Linked DNA regions of Drosophila melanogaster. Changing the gene in region 1 together with any one later gene gives a genetic interaction. Each region holds a gene or a part of one and is shown on either strand. Other genes may lie near its edges.

The links. Genes that interact genetically often act in the same process or in processes that back each other up.
Region 2: of Pect (region 1) and Syt1, changing one suppresses a phenotype caused by changing the other (phenotypic suppression), as found in Drosophila melanogaster (one study listed by BioGRID).

Annotation. Positions count from the first base shown.
Region 1 is NT_033779.5:13,201,739-13,209,763, forward strand, and holds the start of Pect (phosphoethanolamine cytidylyltransferase), read left to right. Parts: upstream 1-2,023; 5' UTR 2,024-2,451; coding exon 2,452-2,534; intron 2,535-6,371; coding exon 6,372-6,622; intron 6,623-6,682; coding exon 6,683-6,749; intron 6,750-6,926; coding exon 6,927-7,039; intron 7,040-7,697; coding exon 7,698-7,861; intron 7,862-7,921; coding exon 7,922-8,025. Other genes in the region: CG16972 (uncharacterized protein), read right to left, coding at 1-670, 806-1,262.
Region 2 is NT_033779.5:2,796,976-2,801,782, forward strand, and holds the start of Syt1 (synaptotagmin 1), read right to left. Parts: upstream 3,005-4,807; 5' UTR 2,934-3,004; intron 1,862-2,933; 5' UTR 1,511-1,861; intron 1,347-1,510; exon of another isoform or gene 857-1,346; intron 1-856. UniProt on the Drosophila melanogaster protein: May have a regulatory role in the membrane interactions during trafficking of synaptic vesicles at the active zone of the synapse. It binds acidic phospholipids with a specificity that requires the presence of both an acidic head group and a diacyl backbone.

The DNA.
Region 1 (8,025 bases):
TTTGGCAGCGGCTCCTGTCCCTCGAATGCTACAATGTCGATAGGCTGGGCTGGTTCTTCCTGGATGACTGCGTCCTCGCATTCTTCATCGTCGTGGTCCTCCAGTTCGTGATCATACACCTGACAAATATCTGGGCGTTCCTCCTCCATCGGTGTATCGTCTAAGAATGTGGCGTTTTCGTTTTCCTCCGGAGCCTCGTCGTCGACCAGATCCTGGTGCACTAAAGGCTGTTCTAGCGCTGCATCACTAAGGTACACATTGTTTCCAGCCGCCAATCGTGCCTCGGCCACACCCATATCCTCCACGACCTCCTCGATGTAGGCAGTCCCATTGAGACACTCATTCGCATCACTCTCCTCGGACAGCAAGCCCAGCAATGCACCGGTACCGTTTCCGGCCATCATGATGGCCCTGGCGAACTCCTGCTCGCATGCCACTCCCTGGGTAGCTACTATGATCTCACAGCAGTGTTCTTCTCCTAAAACGACCATGTTCTCTCCATCCACAGCCTCATAGATCACACACTGCTCCCCTTCTTCGGCCACCTGAAGTTCATGTTCAGCCTCATCATTCTCGTGGGACAGCATTTCGAACTGGTCAACATTGCCATTTGTCAGCAGCATGCCGGGGCTTAGTGCAATGCCCGGATCCTGGACAGATTCGGGTGAGTCTAAAAAACAAGAAAAGTATGCGATTGAGTGAGTTTACCATATTAGATATTTCATATTTTCAATTGGGATAAATGTTCATAATCAATTAAATGGAAGAGATTTCCTTGTATAGTTAATGGAACAGATTAACAAACCGTTGATCTCGATGACCTCGTGGCTGCTGTACGAACGTTTTGCCGGTGTGCAGGTGGCCCATACTGGGGCTTGGTGTGTCTCTTCGGTCATCATCATTTGCCGGCGAAGTCCGAATATTAAGGGTTCATTCTGAGGGACGAAACTGGAAGACGGCTGCTCCTCCGGCCAGCCCTTGAAGCCGCTGCCACTCGAGATAAAGCTGTGGGTGTCCGAGTCGTCGGAGATCACGTGCAGGTTGCTGTCCACGGCGGGGTCCAGATCTGCTCCCGTCCTCGAGGATCTGGTGACAGATGCAACAAGATCCGTGGGATACTCCCGATCCTCAGCCACGTCCGATGCGTCGCCTGGAGCTTCGCTGGCCGTATCTATCTCGTCGCCTTCCAGCGGCGAGTACCGGTTCAGTAGGTGTTCCTCCGCCGCTACGTAGGCCATCAGGCTGGCTTCTCTTCTGGACATCGCGTTGGTACGGGGAATGGGATTGGGATTATCTAGCCCTCGTCGACTCGTTTAGTAATTGTGGTAGGATTTCTTGTAAATTTAGCACGTGAAATTTAAAAAATATACTTGATGCTGTCTACAAAACAATGCCCGAACTGACTGTGGACGATCATGATTACATTATCATGGCTTGGTCGGTTTCCTTCGATTGTTATTTTTCGTATATCTGCGTGCTGTGCGTTGTATATTTCTTATTTGATAGGCTTAATATTTTAAGTTGCTTTATCCTGTGTGACCGTGGGAAACACCGTAGTATTATCTCACATCGCCATGGCCAATATGCCTCTTAAAATACCATCGGTATTATTTTTACAGTGGGATCAATCAATAAAATATACCTTTAAAATGAAAAAAAAAATTTTAATTGTGAATGTTATTAGTAGTGTTCGTTGTTTAATTCTATGACACTTTTTTTTTAATAATTGTTGTGACAATATTTACATTTATTTATAAACAAAACACTTTGTTATATCCTAAAATATTATACATTTCATTGGGGTGATCGACTCATAAGGATTTAATAGAGTTAATACCCTTTTAACGTATAATAATACAGATTTGTACTTGCTTAATATAAAAGTTCTAGCTTAGTAACATAAAATTTGCCAATTTAAAGTTATTCCCAATATATCTCGATCAGCTGTTGATGTTTACAAAATCCGCGTTAGCTGGTATTCATCGCACCAGGCATATGGTATATTTGGACAAACACCGATGCGGCCACTCTGCTCTCACGGTACTCGAAATTGTGAGAAAAGAAATGAAAGAATCTAAAAAAAAACCCAAGCTAAACACACCGCACTTACGCCCCAAAGAAGTTCCCATGCGCCCGCGCGCTGATAACGCAAGTCTGAGAATCTGAGACCAATTCCGCTCCGAGTCTGAACGTGAATCCGAGTCCGAAACCGATAACGAAAACTGAACTGAGTAGCTCGGTCGTGAAATGGGAATTGATATATAGCGGGCGTCGTCGTAGCTCAGAACAAATAACTTACAGCTCTCGAAGCGTGAACGTCGCTGTCGTCGAGTTTCCGCCTTCAAAACGAGCACTGAAAACAGAAACATACTCTCCGGAATCTAATGTTCGCCCGTTAGCCGGATTCTAAATTAAAATTAAATTAAATTGTGAAAATTCAATAAGTCAACGATGGAGGCAAATGGCGATACCAGCGCCTGCAATGGGTATTCGGACAAGCAGCGGAAGGATGTGCGCGTCTGGTGCGATGGATGGTGAGTCATCTACATTACATTTAGGGGCCTCCAGGAATTCGGTCCACAATGTCTAACGGTTCTTAGGGCAGCCCATTGCGTCACGTCGTTACTCACCGCTAACGGTAAAGTGAGTCAAAGCATAACCATTCCGCGTCGGTGCCATCGATTCCATGCCACACCACGGCCAACCGAACCCTACTATTTCAATTCCAATTTGGTTTCCAATACCAATAACCGTAATCAGTCGACGATAAACTAAACCCCATTTTTAGGCGTGCTAAGAAGCGTCCAGGGTTCCTCAATTGATTAGCAAATCTTTGTGAAACGGTGCCGTCTCGCTGCCCGTTCCAAATATCCACCCATTGCCGTCGTCCGGCTGAAATGTCTACATAATTCAGGTTCAAGGTCTCTCGGATCCGAAATGTCCATATTCTCCACGCTTGACCGGGACATTTGGCATTATATTTATATTTATACGCTATGCAATCTATTTATAATTGTACGCTTACAGTGGCTATTCTAAAACAGATTACTCAGAGAAAATGTTTAATTTGCCTTTTCCGGCGATACTCGCACTCTTTATGGCGCTTAAGCTAACAACAATACATATATCCCAAATTAGTTTGCACAATAATTAATTGCTATATGTGATAAACCGGGTGTTCGGTTCATCTAATGCATCTATGTATTTTAGATCCGCATATAGATACTATTGACGCACTTTGCCTTGTTTTGGGCACCATCAAATGGTTCTATAGGCATTGCGTTCCCCCATATATATATATATATATAATTATTTGATTCCGTGCAATGCATCATCAGAAACCGGTTTATCTTTATCGGTAATGACGCGTTAGACTGCGATATGGACGGATGGATAGATGGCCTACCATAACAAGTTTGCTTCATTGGGGGACGATAGAAATTTCCTCAATTGTGGCTACCGCCAGTCGGTAAAAATAAAAATATACCCATTGTTTATATGCGCCCTCGCTCTTTCTCTTATTTCCTTGTATTTCTACTCACCGTATAAACAATGGCACACGCCCAACAAGCAAATGTACATACATATATGTGCCATATACATGTGCTCTGGCTAACCCACTGTATCTGAACAGCCTGCCTTTCCTTCCGCTCTTCTGTTTTTGAGGCTTCAGATTTTCGGATGAGGGCTGCGTTTACGTGGCCCTTGTTGACTGTGGCTGCCCGCCGGTCGTCCGTCCGCAAACATCACGTGATTCTGGCATGCGCATGCCCTCCGCCTCGGCGATGGACCCCACACCCCTTTTGCACCACCATCATTGCCATTGCCTCGCCATTGACCCACAATGCTGTCGTCATCGTCTGGCGGTCTTTTGTGTGCCCAATTTAATTGGCATTTCGCTGGGCCTCTCCTGTACTGACTAAATAATCGCAAGGGATCGTCTTTATTTTAAAAGGGTTTTTTAAACCATATCCATTTATTATTAAGAGGTGGTTCAATCTTATAGTATACTTCTGCCTAAGCAAAAACATACATATGGCAAAACTTTTAGAATCCAATTGCGAATGCCCTGAAGCAAGATTAGAAAATGTCACCTAATTTATGGATTTAAACCTAAAACATATACATCATGCTCATTGGCATTTCCGGGTAATTTTGGCAGTCTATGCTCCCTTATGTCCATTGTCAACGGGTCACAGCTCCCTGTCACCAGTGTGGAAGTCCTCTAGCTGCGACAGATAAGAACGACCTACGTAGTCGTGCTCCAATCGCTGAAATTCCACATCAGCTGCTCATGGGCACGAACAACAAGTATAAACATAATATTTGCGTGGAATCTGATGGAATCTGATAACCCATCAGATGGGGAAAGCACGTATGTATGTGGGGCACTTGGACCCAAAAATCATTCTAATCAGCAGAGATTGATCATTGACGCAGGCACAAGTGCTTGGCTTGTCTCCTCCTTTCCACCCAAGTCAATGAACCTCTGCCAGTGGAAATAACAAATGAATGGGAAGCTCTCGTAATAAGAGAGTCCGGGGCCTTAAGGCGGGGCATATATGTACATGTGTGCTGTAGTATAAGATCTATGTATATGGCATACTTTACCCCACCAAGTCAATCCACTTTACTAGGCTCTGGGGTCCGGACGACAGAGCACAAATTCTACGGAGAATCGCGTGATATTTTTTAATCAGCAAACGGGCGTCGGCGTTGCTGTCGCTGGTGTTGTCGCTGCTTTTAGCTCACTCAATTGATTAAGCGGCCCCTGGGTCTGTTCTACATATAGAGTACAACAATGCTAATATGGGTATAGTATGTTCGGCACAGATTTCTTGGTGCGCTGCAAAAAAATCTCCGGGAGCAAAGGTTTCGCTTCGATTAATGAATGGCCCACGTTTTTACTAGCTGCTTTTTATGGTGGTGGTCATCTCTCCGCATTTGTTACTATCTGGGCAAGTCAAGGGACTAGCTGGCATAATCCATCTTTTATTTTTAGGCGTGCATGCAGGGGCATTGCATTTCATTTAAATTTCATTTCAGTTAAAGATCCAGTTTGTTTTGAGTACAACTATTTTCTTGGGAATTCTCTAATCTTCAATGGAAGCAGTACTTAAAATACTTTCCGTCTATCTATTTCAAATGAACTCCTCACAATCGATTACCGAAGAAACCGTCGATGGTGACGGTATTATTTCTTATCACCCGCCATTTAGTTAAGTGGTTACCTTTTGCATGTTATGTTAAAAAATGTTTGCACAAAGCCCGCTGGGTGAATCATTTTCCAAAAGAGCAGGTTTCAATATGAATTATTTTATAAATACTTACAATTACAATGTACCTATGGTGGAAAAAATAAATACCTTCATAATTGGTGTTAAGTGCAATTTGTGCAACGCCTCACGTCCCCCGGATGCTATTATCGCTTTCCCAAGCCAAACAAAAACCAGGCCAGGGCACGTGTGCCTATAACCATAATGCCTAGAATCGGCGGAGAATGTAAACAAGCTGAATGGCGATGTTTGCGTATATGTGGCCACTGAAAAGCTGACGCAGCAGCGTTCATAATTGCAATTAGAATTGCAAAACAACGAGCAGCAAATGCGGTTTTATTGATATCCCCTGTCCCGGTTGCTTCATCCATCTCTCTCTCGGCATTTTTGGCATACCCACTCTGATGATCGAGTCCAAAGATCAATCTCTTGACCAATGCTGGGCAAAAGTGGAGCACACAAACCGCCTCTATAGTCACCGGTGGTCAGTCCGTCAGCTACTGGTCATTAAAAGCACTCGACCAGACATCTTTGACGCGCTTCGACAGCGGTTTATGTAAACTATGTAAATGGCTTGCTCGAACCACTTTATTACTTTATCGTCTGGGGGTCATTAGCAGTACTGCTTCGACCTAGCTTCCACCATTAACTAAATGACCAGGATTCCAGCTGAGCGTCAAGACAAGTGGTTTTTTTTTGTTGGGCCTAAGGTTCATTATACGTATGTATGTATGCACATTCCATGCGATAATTGTTTTTTTTTTTTTTTTTTTTTTTTGGCAAGTCTCGAAGTTAAACACGGCTTATCTTGCGAGCTTGAAAAATTGCTAATTTTATGAAATATATGCCATTTTCTGAGTCATATTGGTAGAGGCAAGATCGTTTCCATTAGCTATTTGTCAAGGTCTCGCGGCAATCGTTGCAGTCTTAGTTATCTTAGAATTTATTAAACTTCCACGAATGGCAGACAACATTTCCGGAGGTAACTAATAAGGTCATGTTTGCTTGTTCACTGGCACGCGCTTGATAAAAAAAAAAAAAAACAATGTATCTATTCTTGTACTGACATATCTATCCTCCTTCCATCCTCAACAGCTATGATATGGTACACTTCGGACATGCCAATTCTCTGCGACAAGCCAAGGCTCTTGGCGATAAGGTAATTGTGGGCATTCACACCGACGAGGAGATCACCAAGCACAAGGGACCACCGGTCTTCACCGAGGAGGAGCGCGTCAAGATGGTCAAGGGCATCAAATGGGTGGATGAGGTGGTGCTCGGTGCTCCGTATGTGACCACACTGGATGTGCTCGACCAGAACAACTGTGATTTCTGTGTGCATGGAGGTGGGTAACAAATTTATGCATATATCTGGATGTTACTCAATCGAGTGTATTTGTTTGCAGATGACATTACAATGACAGCCGAAGGAGTGGACACATATCATTTGGTCAAATCAGCCAATCGCTACAAGTGAGTTTGAAAAGATATATTTTTAAGACATGTGGCAGTTTATTAAAAAGGGAATGCACACACACTTACCTTATGTACATCTTGCCTTAACCTTTAATAAGCTGCCAGTTGTCTTGTAAAGCACGTACTGCACATTTTTCCAATTACTGACCTTAAATTTTCTTATGCAATCCGCAGGGAAGTGAAACGCACAGCTGGAGTCTCGACCACTGACCTTGTGGGCCGCATGTTGCTCCTGACACGCAACCACTTCCGTCAAGGATCCGCGGAATATGATATCGAGAAAGAAGGTAGCTTTAGCTTGTTCCAACGCTTTTCTGGCACATTTTATTTTCATTTTAATGTTCCTAAATCACAGCGAGCACTGTGAATTTGTGCGCCAAATTCATTGTTTCTAACCATTACTAACTTTAATTTTAAGACTACTTTTTGTTTGCACTCTTTTTGTCTTTCATTTCCTGCTGTCGAACTTGTTTATTGCTCTTGCATGCTGTGCATAAATCAAAGTCGATCAATCAGTTACAAGTATGAACAATATTATACAGATATATTCAGTTTATACATGGGCTACGCACGATTAGTTTATGCATTTTCCCCAATAGATTCTTTTTAATTTGCCATAGTTGAACGCAAATAACGCCTTGGTTTATGGTTGCCCTCTACAACTTTACTATTTCTCTTCTTTTTATTTCTATGTACGCACTGTTAACCACTATCAAAAATATAATATAATGTATGAAACCTATGAAAACTATGCTAAATGTTTTGTGCGTGTGCGCGCCCGCGAAATGAATCCAAATGCCGAATGCCCAATGACCAACCTGCAATCAAAATATCCAAATCCGAATCCAAATCGAAATCAAATCCTAAACGTAAATTTTTGCTCTTAAATACACACTTTTGCTCATTTGTCTGCGTTGCTTTACAATACAAAACAAACAAAAAAAGTGTCAATTTTAAAACGACAAATAAAATCCCATCCAGGTTCTTCGAACATGGGTCAAGATTCGGCAGCCAAAAGTCCGTGGACCGGTTGTAGTCAGTTCTTGCCGACTACCCAAAAGATCATACAGTTCAGTGATGGAAAGTCACCGAATCCCGGCGATAAGATTGTAAGTTTAGCCCTCATTATATGTATATAATGTATAATTCATAATTGTCGGTATTTGCAGGTTTATGTGGCTGGCGCCTTCGATCTCTTCCATGTGGGTCACCTGGACTTTCTGGAAAAGGCTAAGAAACTGGGTGACTATCTGATTGTTGGCCTGCACACAGA
Region 2 (4,807 bases), about 10 Mb from region 1:
GTAATAATTGCTACGATTTGACCTTTGGCGAAGGACCTATAAATAGGCAGCTGTCTGCTGCTTTTTCATAAATTGTGGGCGGTGGTGCAGAAAAAGCTGATAAGGGTGCGTGGGCTGCTGGGTTGGTGGCCCGGTGGGTGGTGCAATGCAGTGACAAAAAGTGGAGCACAGATAACGGCAATTGGCTGGGCATTTTAGATTAGCGCGGGGTTCGCATGGCGATAAGATAAATGGTAAAAGGATACTGCGAGTAAGCAACGAAGAACCCGAGTAAAAATAGAGTTTTCTACCGGTCTTACCATCAAGCTGTCAAAACAAATTAACATGGGATGGATTGGACAGGCAGTCATTACCCATTACCGGGTCCAAACAAACCCGCCAGCGAGCAAATGGAGCTCGCAATATGATTCGGGTTCGGATTCGGATCTATGGCAACATCTGTGGAACCCACGCACGTAATACGGGCGAATCGCGTAGAAAATGGCCAGGAGGCTCTCGAAGCTCACGAATGGGGAAACGGTTAAACTTTTTGGCGAGCCGGAGAGTGGAAAACTATGAGAGCGGAAGGATGGAAAAGCGGAAAAGCCACACATGCCCACAGCTCTCTCTCTCTCTCTCTCTTTCTGTTTCTGTTTCTGCTCTCTTTACTGCGCACATAACCCAGAGAAGGCAACAAAATAAAAACTCGGAAAATAGCAAAGGAAATAAAAAAAAAAAGAAATGAACATGAAGGAAAATCCAAGCTAGACGTTGGAGCCCGACATTGCCTCAGGCCAGAAGAATGCCTGGCGGAGAAAACCAATTTTCCACATCATTATGCTTTTCGCTTTCATTGAACAATCCGTCTCGATGTTTTCAAAATCAAATATAGACTCCGTGCAAACAATTCATTCATATTCTCGAATTTCACACAAAAGGATTTTCGGGCGACGCGAAGGGTCAAAATTACGCTGCCGTTCGGGCCAACTTGATTATTGGCAATTATGTGCGGCCTGCCGAGCTTGTTTGCAGCATTTTTATTGCTATGCTTCGGCAATGCCCTTAATAGCCTGCCCTCCGAGGAATTCCAGCCCAACTTCGGGCTGTCCAAAGCTAATTAGCGAAGAGCAGGACTAAATCAGGTTTAGTTCTTATTAGACGAAGATAAGAAAGGACACGATGAACAAGTGATGTGTGGCACTGGGCAGAGAATTTGGCAGTCTGGCAATTAATCAAGTTAATAAACCCAAAGTATTTCAGACCTTTTGGGTTTAATTGGTAAAGGAAATTCCTGCAAATTTTTGTGAATCTATTAATTAACTTGATTATTTAGATATTAATATAATTCAAGATGAATGTTAACCATGGGAAATGTTTGTATCTTAGAATAATAAGCAATCACATTTTCTCTGATAGCTTAGAGATTAGTTTTTCTTTAGCTGCAGCAACCCTTTAGTTATGTATGTTTCTCCATTCACTCTATGGACTGCCCCAAAAAGTGTGCTACGTTCTTGTAAATACCAACACTCACCCCCTAATCAGAAATGCTGCCAATGTTTCTCCTTTCCAATCAGCAATTGGGATCCAGACTAGCGTTAATAGCTCGGTCGTTTTTGGTACTTAATTCGCTTGTTTATCGTCCGCTTTATTAGTTAGGATGATGGGTTTTGAGCAGCGTTTAACGAAGCGTGACTCCTGCGAGGGGAGCGGGGAGGGTCGGCAGCAGTGGCGACTATTTGGCAGGAAGGATATGGTGATGCGGGTCCTGGCGCTTGTCGATGTATGTGTGCTGCTGCTGCTGCCTGATTTATGTTTTTGGTTTTTTGTGACTGGCTTTGGCTAGTGAGGCCGCGGCTCGCTAGTCTCACATGAATTTCGTATACTTTTTTGGATAATTTGTAATAAAATTAATTGAAATTAATTCAATTTATTTAGATTTATTTGCATATATTTTGCAGTACAAAGGATGTCAGCGGAAAGTGAGGAAGAGAGAGAGAGAGAGAGATATAGAGAGAGAGTGAGTGAGAGAGTTGAAGAGATACGCAGCGTATACGTAATAGCAAAATACAATGGTGTGCGTAAATATTGATAGAGCGAACTCGGCTTTGTGTGTGTGTCTGTGTGTTGTGTCTCCTTGCCCAAAAGAGCATGTGTGTGCGTGTTGGTGAGTGGGCAGAGAGAGACAAAAATAGAGAGAGAGAGAGAGAGTGGGAGGTTGGCAAATTCGCTTTTTCCTCGAAGAAAGCAAATTCAGGATAGAGATTTTCTTAGGGCCATTTCTTTCGTCCTTTTCAGGGCCTCTTTTGGCTTGAATTGAGCTTTCCTTTTTTCTCTCGCACTCAGACACTTCAAGTTGATAGTTAAAAATCTCATTTCAATTTTAATTTTTTATTATTTAATTATAGGGCGTTGAAGGACTGCGGATTCGGATTTTCCGAATTCACATTGATATGCTTTTTAATCCTGGCTTTCGACTGGCCTACAGCACCACAATAGTCGGGTGGGAAAAATCAATATCCCCGCAAGTGGCTCACATGCGTTTTCACTTTCAATGATAGCCCATTTTTCAGCGCTTCTTTCATCTTCGCATTGCACATTGGAATTTTCAATTAAAATTTTCTTGCTTAGCTGCCATTTTTTCTCGACATTTGCTGCGAAAAATTCTGATACACAAAAAATGTTCTCCTTTTTTGTCAGCGCGTGCTAAACACTCGCACACACACAGTCGCATACACGCACCCACACCACACACACATACACACGCGCACTATACATTTCGGGGCTTTCGATGGCCTTTTCATTTATATAACAAATTGGAAAACACTTTCAACACTTTTGCTTTGCTTTCAACCAATTCTGTTTAATTTTCATAATTTTTTCATCACATTTTTGAATGATTTTCCATGGGCATTGCCACTTTTTATGAGCCTCTAGAATTTTTCTTTCCCATTCACCTTCAGCCTAGCGCTTTGTACTTCAGCAGTCAACTTCCACGGTCGATGTTCATTCGCGTTTTGGCCCACACGCTCCAGGAGCAGCGCTGAAAAGCTTGGGCCACTCGCCAAAACGCGAGAGCGAACCGGTTGGGGCATCGATTTTGGCCGCTCGGCCAGCGGGTGAGCGGGGCGGTGTCCACCGTGGGGGGAGCTTTTGGGCAGCGGAAATCTCGGAGGGGAAGACTTTAGGCCAGCTGGACATGGCTGAGCCCCTACGTCTGTATGATATGCAAAGGAGGATAATCATAAAATAGGCACTACCATAAAATGCATCCTTCATAAGTAAGAGTTGAATAACTACTACAGTATCTCATGTCTAGTACCTTTACATACATATTTTCAAAAATCCCTACTATATCTCTCTCTAGATTTTCCCAAAGGAGGTAAACATCTGACTGGGAATCACATGTAAAGTTGAAAGCTCCTTCAGAACCTGTTCGCAGTATGTTTTTTGGTGCATGCGTACTGGGGCGGAAGTGTCTCAATGGCACACAATGTTGCCATTTGCTGTAGAGCAAAGCTTTTCTGTGCCAAGTTTCACTTTCCGTACTATTTTTCCTTCGCCTATGAAAGCTGAGATTTGCCATGTAAATGGCGGCACTGTATCGTATATTTCACAAAAAATCAAAACAAATTACTTATCTAACGATAAGCCAAAATAGTATGACTGTGAAATTAAATCTTTTTCAATAGATCCGATCCATCCAGGCAATTTATTTGGTTTTGGAAATGCATTATTAAAAGGTCGTGCCTACTTTTGGGCTGACAAGTCCATCTTAATGACATGTCAGCACAATAATTATGAAATATAATTTAATTAATACTTTGTCACAAAAATAGTTTATAATCGTGATTTCCCCCTAGAGAGTAGCTGAGTTTTTACATGCAATGAGGATATATTTTTAAATGTTTTGAATAAATATACTATAGGAATACAAATACATAGTAAGTTACTATTAGTAACCTAAAATCAAAGCAGATACGATCTTAAATCATACTTCTTTGAACAGAAATACTTATCGACTTGCTTTCCTATGAGTTATGTATTTATATCGGGTGAATCATTAACAATCCTTTACGACGCGCAAATAAATCACGATATTCGATAGTGCTGGTCACCTTCACGCCTCAATCAGGCGGTTGGCCATACTCGGGGTTCGTGATTTCCCATATCGTTTATCTTGGGAACCCTCGCACGGCAATCGGTAATCGCTAGCGAAGAAGTTAATTAAACGGCCAGTCCTCGGGCTCAAATCGATCGAGATCGATCGCGGATGATTGATGATTGAAGCGAAGAGCGGAATGTAAACACGCACTCGCTTACGCACTTATCACTATCAGTTATCAGTGGGAAGTGGACAGGGAGCAGCAGCTCTTGGTCGGTGGTCACTTGAACTTGCTCCCAAATGGCGATAAGCGAGGCGGCACGCGCTCGATCCGATTTGGCCGTGGGGCAATTGCATTATTGGGGTTGCTGTGTCATCGAGACTAATCGATTTGAATTGGGGCAATTGGCATGATTGCTTTGGTTTGGTTTGGGGCAACTTTGATGAGGTAATGCGAAGTTTCCCACCCCCAAAAAATAGTGTTCTTTCCGCCTGCATCACCCGATTAGACTCGCAATCAGCGAATGTTTGGTTTTTTCCTATGTTATGTTTCTGATTCCGTGTGGTATCAATCGTTTTGGTGGTCGAGGTTATGGCAAGGCTACACGTGCCACCTATAATGGCCATTGGTTTTATTTGCTTTGCATATGTGGTTTATTCGGCACTTGCACCTTATCAAGTGCTTATACTCACAATCCAGATGTGCAATAGGCACAACTGAAGTTC